Linked DNA regions of Macaca fascicularis. The protein of the gene in region 1 purifies or fractionates together with the protein of each later gene. This does not show direct contact. Links are inferred from orthologs where the notes say so. Each region holds a gene or a part of one and is shown on either strand. Other genes may lie near its edges.

Region 1 (5,872 bases):
TGTCTGCCCTAGGTATTGTCAGTCTGCTTGGGGCTCGTTGCCTCTCCTGCTGTCTCTGTTTGCTGCCTTCCTGTGTCTGTGGTTGGGTTCCAATCTCTCTCGCCACTTGATAAGTGCCTGACTTCACCTGTTGGGCACGTGTCACATGTTAGGTGCCTGTTGTTCATGTCCCCTTCTGTCTCTGCCTGTTGGGTTTATGTCTTCATCTGTCTCTGCCTATTGGATACATGTCCCCTTCTGTCTCTGCCTATTGGATACCTGTCCCCTTCTGTCTCTGCCTGTTGGGTTTATGTCCCCTTCTGTCATTGCCTGTTGGGTTCGTGTCACCATCTGTCTCTGCCTGTTGGATACATGTCCCCCTCTGTCATTGCCTGTTGAGGTTTTTTTTTTTTTTTTCCCAAGGCAGTCTCGCTCTGTTGTCCAGGCTGGAGTGCACTGACGCGATCTTGGCTCACTGCAACCTCTGCCTCCCGGGTTCACGCCATTCTCCAGCCTCATCCTCCCAAGTAGCTGAGACTACAGGCGCCTGCCACCACGCCTAGCTAATTTTTGTATTTTTAGTAGAGACAGGGTTTCACCATGTAGGCCAGGATGATCTCGATCTCCTGACCTCGTGATCCACCTGCCTTGGCCTCCCAAAGTGCTGGGATTACAGGCGTGAGCCACCGTGCCCAGCCTGCCTGTTGGGTTTATGTCCCCTTCTGTCATTGCCTGTTGGGTTGGAATTCTCTTCTGTCCCTGCCTATTGGAGATGTGTTCCTTCTGCCTTTGCCTGTTGGGTTCATGTCCTCATCTGTCTTTACCTATTGGGTACATGTCCCCTTCTGTCTCTGCCTGTTGGGCTTGTGCCCCATCTGTCTCTGCCTGTTGGGTTTGTATCCTTATCTGCCTACACACATTGGGGATGAGTCTCTGTCCACCTCTGTCTGTTAGATATGAGTCCCCTCCTGCTTCCCCTTATTGGGTACACATCTCCATCTGTTTTCTATTGGATATGAATTCCTCCTGCCTCTGCCTGTTGGGTGCGTGTCCTTATCCATCCCTGCCTGTTGGGTATGTGTTCTCTCCTGCCTCTGCCTGTTGGGTGTGTGTCCTTATCCATCCCTGCCTGTTGGGTATGTGTTCTCTCCTGCTCCTGCCTGTTGGATGCCATTCTTCTTTTTTTTTTTTGAGACAGAGTCTCGCTCTGTTGCCCAGGCTGGAGTGCAGTGGCATGATCTCGGCTCACTGCAAGCTCCACCTCCCGAGTTCACACCATTCTCCTGCCTCAGCCTCCCGAGTAGCTGGGACTACAGGCGCCCGCCACCACACCCAGCTAATTTTTTGTATTTTTAGTAGAGACGGGGTTTCATTGTGTTAGCCAGGATGGTCTCGATCTCCTGACCTCATGATCTGCCTGCCTCGGCCTCCCAGAGTGCTAGGATTACAGACATGATGGATGCCATTCTCATCTGTTTCCACCTGTTGGGTGCCTGCTTCTGCCTGTTGAGTGTCTCTCTTCATCTGCCTCCACATATGAGGCACCTGTCTTTGCCTGTTGGTTACCTGTTTGCTGTTGGGTACCTCTCTGCTGTTGGGTACCTGTCTGCTCAGCAGCTGCACTGGCAGAGGGCTTTCCCTTTGCAGACCCACAGGGAGGATGGGGGAATGGCCAGAGGGCAGCCCTCAGGCACTGAGGAGTGGGGGAGAGAGAGGAAGGGAACGTGGTGAGGGTGTAGGCCTGGTGCTGGGAAACCACAGGCCCTGAGTGATTGGCTCCCTTGGGCCGGGCCCAGCCCCCGCCCTCACCCTGCACATCCGCCTTGGTCCCGGCCACCACCGCGGCAGCCCCGGACTCTGCCTGCTCCTGCCATGGTGCCGTGGCCCTGCTGGGCGGATGGAGCAGGATCCCAAGCCGCCCCGTCTGCGGCTCTGGGCCCTGCTCCCCTGGCTGCCCAGGAAGCAGCGGCCCAGGATCAGCCAGACCTCTCTGCCTGTCCCTGGCCCTGGCTCTGGCCCCCAGCGGGACTCGGTGAGTGTACCCAGATGTCTGGTCCTGGCCTGGCTGTGTCCCTCGCAGCAGGTGCCTGGGAAGCCAGCTTAGCGTAATCTGGCTTTGGGCTGTCCTGGCCCAGGCCTGGCCCTGCGGGGTGACTGGACCCTGCCCAGACTTGCTTCCTGGGTAAGTGAGGAGGTACTTCAGGGCTTCAAGGCAATGGCAGCAGATTAGAGGGAGGGTAGAGTCCTGGAATGGCTAGGACGTGGCAAGGGGCTTCTAGTAGGTTTGTATGAAGGAAGTTTGGGAAGATGAGCCATGCAGTCTCTGGCCTTAATTCTGACCTGCCCCAGGCTAGCACTTACCAAGTTGATGGGGGAGTTTGGGTGACTCTTGGGTCTTTGTGCACGTCAGCCCTGTCCTACTGACCAGAGGGATCCCCTCATCCCATCCTGACCAGGAACGAAGGCCCAGCTCTACCTCCCCATATGAGAACAAACCTACTTCCTATTGTGGCAACCCTAAAGCAGCAGGGGGAGGGAAGCCCCACAGGCAGACCTGGGGCAGGTCTCTGGGTCTCAACCGGAGCCTGAGGTTGACTCAGCCTGGCCATGCCTGGGCATCCCTTTGGGCCTAATCAGGCCAGAGCATCGGGAGCAATAGGAGTGGTGCCTCTTCTGTTTGACCTCCCCAGCCTTTGAGGCCCTTTTGAAATCAATGACCTTGGAGGCTGGCCCTTCAGGGAAGTCGTCTATTGGGCCTTTAGGTCTCATCTGCTGAGGTCTGGTGGGAATGGCCTTGGGCAGGGGAACTCCTGCTGCCCGGATGGGGCCCACCATGCCCACCAGCTCTGTCCCTCCATCAGGATGAGGGCGTCCTCAAGGAGATCTCCATCACGCACCACGTCAAGGCTGGCTCTGAGAAGGCTGATCCATCCCATTTCGAGCTCCTCAAGGTTCTGGGCCAGGGATCGTTTGGCAAAGTGAGTCATGAGCCCGTGGCTGTGAAGGCAACCCTCGTCATGTTAGAGGTGGGGGTCAATGGTCACCTAGGGGCCCAAAGGATCAGAGGTCACCTTGGTACCCAGGGAGAACAAAAAGACCAGCTTGGGGCTCAGAGAAGATGGAGGTCAGCCTGGGCGCAGACCTCTCCCATCTTCTGCCCTTGCTTCCCTCTCTGCCTTCTCAGGTCTTCCTGGTACGGAAAGTCACCCGGCCTGACAGTGGGCACCTGTATGCTATGAAGGTGCTGAAGAAGGCGACGCTGAAAGGTGAGTAGGGACACCTCCCTGTGCAGAACCCAGGCTGGGCTGAGGGAGGCAGCCCAGACTTCAGGGGCCTTGGGTCTGGCAAGGGAGACGGCTCTGTCTTCAGGAGCACCTAGTTCAAAGGTGGAGAAACAGGCCTATTTCTCAGCCATCTCTCCCCACCCAGTCCCCCTCCCCCTAAGCCAAGTGCCAATGACTGGCTGTGAAGGTCTGGAAGGTGGTAACAGCGTAAATGTAATATGTTTGTCAGAGGGCAGGGCCCTCAGCTACTTAGCTGGTTAAGCAGAGGCGTTCTGACTGTTGATGCTAGCAGAGTCTGAGGGAGACCTCTGTGGCCCCTAACTCAGGGGCCTGAGAGAAGGGTGTGAGTGAAGAGGCAGGGAGCCCAGGGAGGCAGCTGGGCCAGGCGAGAGAGGGTGAGTCCAGGCAGGGCCACAGAGCTGGATGGCAGAGAGGTTCAGAAGGGAACCCTGGGCCAAGATTAGAGTTCTGGGGACTTACAAAGGATATGAGATGGTTGGTAGTGGGTTTTGGGTTGAACACTGACCCCGTGGCCTGGGAGCCCGTGTGACCACTGACCTGGCGGAGTTGCAGCCAGGTGCCCTTCCTTGACCAAGTCTCCCTTTAAATAAAAGTCACGGCCGGGCGCGGGGGCTCACACCTGTAATCCCAGCACTGTGGGAGGCCAAGGCGGGTGGATCATTTGAGGTCAGGAGTTCAAGACCTGGCCAACATGTTGATACCCTGTCTCTACTAAAAGTACAAAGAAATGAGCTGGGTGTGGTGGTGCGCCCCTGTAATCCCAGTCAGAGCCAAGTCCTAGCTGGGGAGGTCGTGGGGGCAGTAGGAGGCGTCAGCCTTAAGGATGTTATGGGTGGCTTTGGTCTCCTAAGGCCAGCCTGGTGGGGGTGGGAGTCATCCCCCAGGAGGTATGGTGGCAGCTTCAGAGGGAGGAGAAAGTTGAAAAGCCTGGGTTCCTGCTGTGAAGGGCTTGCAGGCTGGGCCGGAGAGGCTAAGCATACCCGACAGTGCGGTGCAGCCGGTGCTGAGACTGGTGTGCGTGGATATCCGACGGGCTGGGGAGCTGGGAGTGGTGGTGCAGCCTTGCAGAGGGTGGGACCAGAGGCCAAGGGGACACCTAAGGAGCGGTAAGCCTTGAAGGACGAGTGGATTTCTCCAGACCAAAAATGGTCGAGGAAGAGACCCTGGGAAGGAGAAACTGTTTGCCTGACCTAAAGTACAGAGGTGGTTTGAAAATGTAAGGTAGGCTGGGCGCCATGGCTCATACCTGTAATCCTAGCACTTTGGAAGGCTGAGGCGAGTGGATCACTTGAGGTCAGGAGTTCGAGACCAGTCTGGCCAACATGGGAAAACCCCATCTCTACTAAAATACAAAAATTAGCTGGGTTTGCTGGTTTGCACCTGTAGTCCCAGCTACTCAGGAGGTTGAGGCACAAGAATCGCTTGAACCCAGGAGGTGGAGGTTGCAGCGAGTAAAGATCGCGGCACCATACTCCAGCCTAGGCGATGAGAGCAAAACTCCATCTCAAAAAAAAAAAACAAAGGAAAAAGAAAATGTAAGGTGACCAAAATAGTTAACTCTGGTGTGGTCCCTGTCGTGTCTAGTGAGGAAAATACAAAAATTAAAATAGAGGAAGGGGCCCACTGATGTGAAAAGTGCTCTGAAGGGAACCAGCTCTGTAGCCCTGTGTGCTGACACAGAAGGCGTGTTGGAAGGCAGCTGCAGCTTCTACTTGTAGCAAGGGCCGAGGATTGTGTCCCGAACAAGACTCTGGAAAGACGTGCAGGAGGAGCACATTGGCCAGATCTCCTAAGATAAGCAACTGTGAGCATCAATTCTAGAATGGCAGTGACGATTGAATAGAATTCATACTAGATGGATGGACTAGTGAAGGCTTTGGGACTATGAGGCTGGAGAGGAAACTGCCGATCCAGTACATGGACCAAAAAAGCCTTTAGTTTTGCACTGTGTGTATTGCTCAGACATTTTGTCTGGTCTTAGTAAGCATTCCTTAGCCTTCCACCTCTCCTTTTAATAGAAGTCAAGGCCGGGTGTGGTGGCTCATGTCTGCAATCCCAGCACTTTGGGAGGTCAAGGTGGGTGGATCATTTGAGGTCAGGAGTTCAAGACCAGCCTGGCCAACATGGTGAAACCCTGTCTCTACTAAAAATACAAAAAAAAATGAGCCGGGTGTGGTGCGCCTGTAATCCCAGCTACTCGGGAGGCTGAGATACAAGAATTACTTGAATCTGGGAGGCAGAGGTTGCAGTGAGCCAAGATCACACCACTGCACTCCAGCTTGAGTGACAGAGTGAGACCCTGTCTCATAAAAAACAAACAAAAAAACAAAGGCCACATGAGAGGTCTCAGTCAAGGGATAATCAATATTGTAATAAACTTAAGTTGAAACACAGTGTCCAAAATGAACCTAAGCAGCCAAGTCCAAAAGCCTATTTTTTTTTTTTTCTTTCCCACGACAGAGTCTCGGCACATGCCACCAGGCTGGCTACTTTTTTGTATTTTTTACTAGAGACAGGGTTTCACCACGTTGGCCAGGATGGTCTCGACCTCCTGACCTCATGATCTGCCTGCCTTGGCCTCCCAAAGT
Region 2 (5,713 bases), on another chromosome or scaffold:
CACCAGAAGGCATCCCGAGCATTGATATTCCCCCCAGCTCCTCCTGCCTCATGGGGCTCCAGCAGTCTCCTAAGTTCTGCCAGGTCCCCCTCCTGGGCTGCCCTCAGTATCCGGTGAGTCATCTTATCCTCAGCCTCAAGGGATCTCCCTTGTCCATATCTTCCTGATACTCCTTCTGCCACTGCTTCTGCTGCAGCTGCCCCCATGATTCTTCTTTTCTTTCTCTTTCTTTCTCTGGCAGGTTCAGTCTGAGATCTTTGGGAGTCAGGAACGCAGCTCTCATCCCCAATAAGGGCCTCATAGAAAGCTCGGGCTGCAGCTCCATCCAGGGTGGACTCTGGCTCCTCGGGCTGTGGCTGCTGCTGCCCATCCTTCCAGAGGTCGCTGGGGTCAGTGGCTGGGGTGAAGGTGATGAGGAAGGGCTGGGACATGGCTTTTGGGAGAACTGAGAAAATGATACCAGGCAAGGGAAGGATGCGACAAGCAAGCCAAGCTCCTGGTGACTCTGTAGCAACCAGAGCCTCAGGGACCTGCTGGGATGAGAAAAAGTAGTCAAAAACACTTTCCTGCCGCTAAAGTGACCCCACAACTTAAGACTCTGCAGGGTCTAAGGGAGAGAGTATATGCGTAAAAACACGAAACCCTACAATACCGACTTTGCTCCTTAGTAAAGATTAATCAAACTCCATGAGACAGTCGTCCAGAGGTCCTGCGTCCGGCCCCCACCCCCATCCTTACCAACAATAAATACCAGCCTCTTTCTGAAATCACTTTCTCACCCCGTAAAACAGACATACCAGTAGGAAAAAAAAAAATCAAACCTGGCCCTTTAAGTCTTCCGTGATCCCATTTCGGAGTTTCCTCTTCCCAAACAAAAATAGACGGGTCACTCCCTAGAAGATCTCGGGGAGAGGCTCCTATACGTGTTGCCGTGTAGCTTCCGTAACGCAAAATGGCGCTATTCTGATCAGCAGAGTTGACACAATCAAATAGCCACACGGCACGGAGACGCATGCGTGGCGACAACAACAACAAAAACCACCACCCACATTACTTGATGGCTCAGGCGTGCGCAAAGCTCCCGGTTCAGTTTCCCGCGCTGGAACTTTTCCAATAGTAAACGAGCAAAGCTCCGCGCGCCCAGGTGGCGCGAGCGCTAGGATCTGTCGGTTGGGGTCCTACTTTTACATAACGCCCCCACAATGCCCTTCGCCTTCCTCTACGTGGCCCCCGCTCCAAGCCCATTTTCTGGAGCTAGGAATCCACTCTCTGGGTTAGGAAAGGCCCTCAGGAGGCGGAGGGAAACCTGTGGAATGCCGAGAAGCCGTGTAATGAAATAACGTCACGCCTGCCCCTCACCATTACTCTGACCAGGGTTCGAAGGTCACACTTAGAGACTAAGGGGAAATGGAGAAGTGCAAGGGGACGAGCAGAATGGCTGGCACCACCTCAGGTTAGCGCACTGGGCCGTTCTGGTTCTCACCCAGCCCAGCCCAGCCCAGCCCAGCCCAGCCCAGCCCAGCCCAGCCCAGCCCTCCCAACCCAAGTCCCTACGCACGGAGCCAAGCCGCACCTCTCGCCTCATGAGGCCGGAGCCCGGAGTAAAACAGAAGGCCCGTCAAGGGTCTCTGGCGGGACTGACTCGCACTAGGGGCCCAACAGGCAATAAGGACCCAGCGCATTGGCCAAGGATAGGCCAGTCCCCAGGGAAGCAGCACCGCGTCGGGACTAGAGGGCAACTGTGAGGAGAGCTGCGAGGAGGGGTCCAGCCTGGCTCCCTCCTTTCCCCGCCCTAAGTCAGCTTCTTCGCCCAGTGAGCACACAACTGTATTGCCCAGGCTCCCAGGCCCCGAACGCCATACCTGGTTTCCGCTTCCGGTGGCTTCTCGTTGCGCCCCGCCCGCAAGCGTCCTCCTCCGGGGCTTCGTGACAGCCAGGTCGTGCGCGGGTCATCCTGGGATTGGTAGTTCGCTTTCCCTCACTTAGCCGGTTTCTCTCTCTACCGGGGACTCCGCGTCCCGGCATCCACCGCGGCACCTGACCCTTGGCGCTTGCGTGTTGCCCTCTTCCCCACCCTCCCCAATTTCCACTCCCCCCACCCCACTTCGCCTGCCGCGGTCGGGTCCGCGGCCTGCGCTGTAGCGGTCGCCGCCGTTCCTTCGAAGTAGCAACTTCCCTACCCCACCCCAGTCCTGGTCCCCGTCCAGCTGGTGAGTCTGAGGTCTTCGCTGCTCCTAGTCGCTTGTCGCTGGGAGCCGCACATGGGTCTCCGCACTTTGATATGGGGGCGGGGGGAGGAAGCAACCAGGTCCGGCAAGGAGGGAGAGGTGGCTTGAGGAGCGGAGGGGGGATGTGTGGAATCCGGTGAAAGGGACCTGACAGTCGCCCCCAACCCTTGAGAAAAGGAGGCGCCCGATTCTTGCTTGAGAGTGATAAACTTGGAAATCCTTGGGAAAGGCGCCGGGGTCGTGCAGAGACTTGCATTGGTACGGAGCCTGAGTCGAGGTCCCTGCCGGAGTTGACACAGAGAAGAGAGGGCCCTGGCTTTCGGGAGCTCCAGGGACGTGGGTCGGGCTGGTGGGTCAAAGTATCTGTTGGCTTCTTTCAAGTGGTGGGACCCCAAAGAATGTTTAACGTCAAAGAAAAGGGAACTGAGATGTAAATTGGAGGAGTTGGAGAGGAGTGCTTCAGAGTTTGGGATCCTTTAAGAAAGGGTGGTTCTAATGTGGGAGGAGGGAGGATACCCGAGGCAGGGAAGGAGAACTTGAGCTTTACTGACACTCTTTTTTTCAGCTGACGTGAAGATGAGCAGCTCAGAGGAGGTGTCCTGGATTTCCTGGTTCTGTGGGCTCCGTGGCAATGAATTCTTCTGTGAAGTGAGTTCTCTTCGACCTCCCTACTTGCTGGCTTCACATATCTTCCCACCAGATGTTCCTTCACGTATTCCACTTCTACACTGTTCTCTTACATACTACTTGAAAACTTCCCATCAACGAAGAGTCCCCTCAATAACCCCCGACGAACCTGTGCTAAAGTGGCAAAACTGGGGCCCAAGTTTCGACTCTGCCACCCTCCAGCAGGCAATTTGTGTCTTTTTCTTTATCTTTTTTTTGAGACTGGGTCTCACTGTGTCGCCCAGGCTGGAGTGTAGTGGTGCGATCTCGGCTCACTGCGACCTCTGCCCCCCAGGTTCAAGCGATTCTCCTGCTCCAGCCACCCAAGTAGCTGGGATTACAAGTACCCGCCACCACGCCCGGCTAATTTTTGGATTTTTAGTAGAGACAGGGTTTCACCATGTTGGCCAGGCTGGTCTCAAACTCCAGACCTCAGGTGATCTGCCCGCCTCAGCCTCCCAAAGTGCTGGGATTACAGGCATAAGCCATTGCGCCCAGCCTGTATCTTTTATTACTAAAGTTGTACTGCTAGTACCTGTCTCAGCTGGCTGTTAGGAAAATTGAAATGCTACGTATTGAAATGTTTTGTTCAGAAACCATGCCGTTCAGCTTCCATCCTCCTCAGCCAGCTGAGAGGACAAAACTGGTTCCTAGAGATGGAGTACAGGAGTAGGGACAGAGATCTTGAAAAGAATGTCTAAGAAAAAGATTGCTGTACCTGCTTATCCTTAGAAAAGAAAAGCCAAAGCTTTATGGGAGGGAGTATAGGTGAACTAGGGAGAGACGCAAGTACTTCTGCTGAGTTGGGAGTGAGAAACAAGCGGAACAGATGCAGTTGTGTTGATGATAAGGCATCAGTTAGAGCATTTTGCCCAGGTCAAAGATGGGGATTTTGATATGGGTTCCCTCTTGGCTTCCATGTCCCAACAGGTGGATGAAGACTACATCCAGGACAAATTTAATCTTACTGGACTCAATGAGCAGGTTCCTCACTATCGACAAGCTCTAGACATGATCTTGGACCTGGAGCCTGGTGAGGCACCCTCAGGGTTGTTTTGTGTGTGTGCATGCACTTTTTTTCTCTTCAAATCTATATTCACTTACTTGAATTTTGAAATTTCCTTTGGTTCTCTGATTTCTTTAACCCCAAATTCATGCTTTATTTTGATCCTCCACCTGACTGTGTCTAGTTTTGTGACGTATATCACTTGTTCCCATGTTTTCTAAATCCACAATTCAGATGTTTTCCAAAATATGTTTCCTCATGGGTCTGGTTTGCTATTTCTCCTGCTTTGCACCTTCCAGTCTAGAGTTTCATCTTTTGCATTGACATTGTTGCAGTTATGTATCGGGGAGGGAGCTGGGAGGGAGAGTGGGGAGCGGAGGCTAAAGAGGTGTGAAGAGAAGACAGAGCTGTCTTGGGTTGGCGCAAGGGTCAGAAGCCCAGGTTTCTGGGTCACATGCCCAGATGTTGGATGGGGTAAGGCCCAAAAGTAGGTGCCAGGCGAACTGAATAGCCCGCACCCCCTGGATATGGGCAGGGCACCTAGGAAAGCTGAAAAACAAGTGGTTGCATTTGGCCGGGCTGTGTTTCAGATGAAGAACTGGAAGACAACCCCAACCAGAGTGACCTGATTGAGCAGGCTGCCGAGATGCTTTATGGATTGATCCACGCCCGCTACATCCTTACCAACCGTGGCATTGCCCAGATGGTGAGGCCTCTCTGCTCCTAATTGCCTCCTTCTGAGCAGTAAGGGACACAGGTTCCTGCAGCAAGAAGTCATGTTTAAGCCTTGTTTAAGGAAACTGGCTGAGAAGAGGAGAAGAACCCCAGGCTTGGGCCTGGGAATTGAATTCTGATTGGGGGTCATCCTGAAGGGATAATTTTCAGGGAGGGAGACAGTCCTTGAACAGAGAGTTGTGATAGACTGCCTCTTCCTCAGGGAACAAACAACAAATGGCTCTGATGGTTTGTAGCCTGCCTAACTGGAAGAAAGGCAACATAGGAGTTTGAGAGCCCATCTGGGCCAGAGAAGGGGCCTCTGGACAGAGGTGGGAGGAGTGGGGGACAGAGTGATATGGGTTGAGCTGAGAAGGGAGTTGCCTCTTCTCTTCACACCTACCTGCCAACCCCTTCCATTTTATTCACTTCAGTTGGAAAAGTACCAGCAGGGAGACTTTGGTTACTGTCCTCGTGTGTACTGTGAGAACCAGCCAATGCTTCCCATCGGTGAGTGTTGAAGAAGGGAAAGGAAGGCACCTTGTGGCAGTCTTACGGGAAGGAGTTAGGGCTCAGCATCTTGGGGCCTGAGTCCTGAGGGGAGGTTAAGTAGGAACAGGGAGATACCTGGCCTGCTGAGTCTGGCTGTCTCCCAGGCCTTTCAGACATCCCAGGTGAAGCCATGGTGAAGCTCTACTGCCCCAAGTGCATGGATGTGTACACACCCAAGTCATCGAGACACCATCACACGGATGGCGCCTACTTTGGCACTGGTTTCCCTCACATGCTCTTCATGGTGCATCCCGAGTACCGGCCCAAGAGACCCGCCAACCAGTTTGTGCCCAGGTAGGGAGCAGGGAGAGTCATTAAGGGTCAAAGGAAAGGCCTAAGATCCCCCAGAGAGAGGGGAGGATGGGGCATGGCCCTTTCTTGAGGCCTGCTTCTCCCAGAATCGGCATCTCCCTGCGGAGTGACTGTGGGAAAGTTATTTGATTGTCTGTGCTTCAGTTACCTTATCATAGAATGTTCTTGAGCTGAGAAGTTGGGAACCACTAGGCTTAAGCTCTGAGCAGGTCCATGGAGGAGTTCAGGTGGGGAG

What was found. The genes of interacting proteins can lie anywhere in the genome.
Region 2: the proteins of RPS6KA1 (region 1) and CSNK2B purify together in Homo sapiens (affinity purification with mass spectrometry; 4 studies listed by BioGRID and IntAct, with this or other methods). This does not show direct contact. The link is inferred for Macaca fascicularis from reciprocal best matches to the Homo sapiens genes RPS6KA1 and CSNK2B.

The regions. Positions count from the first base shown.
Region 1 is NC_088375.1:208,566,719-208,572,590, reverse strand, and holds the start of RPS6KA1 (ribosomal protein S6 kinase alpha-1), read left to right. Parts: upstream 1-1,831; 5' UTR 1,832-1,876; coding exon 1,877-2,011; intron 2,012-2,840; coding exon 2,841-2,957; intron 2,958-3,163; coding exon 3,164-3,245; intron 3,246-5,872. UniProt on the Homo sapiens protein: Serine/threonine-protein kinase that acts downstream of ERK (MAPK1/ERK2 and MAPK3/ERK1) signaling and mediates mitogenic and stress-induced activation of the transcription factors CREB1, ETV1/ER81 and NR4A1/NUR77, regulates translation through RPS6 and EIF4B phosphorylation, and mediates cellular proliferation, survival, and differentiation by modulating mTOR signaling and repressing pro-apoptotic function of BAD and DAPK1.
Region 2 is NC_088378.1:140,053,315-140,059,027, reverse strand, and holds the start of CSNK2B (casein kinase II subunit beta), read left to right. Parts: upstream 1-2,107; 5' UTR 2,108-2,210; intron 2,211-2,793; 5' UTR 2,794-2,804; coding exon 2,805-2,876; intron 2,877-3,824; coding exon 3,825-3,927; intron 3,928-4,490; coding exon 4,491-4,606; intron 4,607-5,048; coding exon 5,049-5,124; intron 5,125-5,270; coding exon 5,271-5,460; intron 5,461-5,713. Other genes in the region: GPANK1 (G patch domain and ankyrin repeat-containing protein 1), read right to left, coding at 1-431. UniProt on the Homo sapiens protein: Regulatory subunit of casein kinase II/CK2.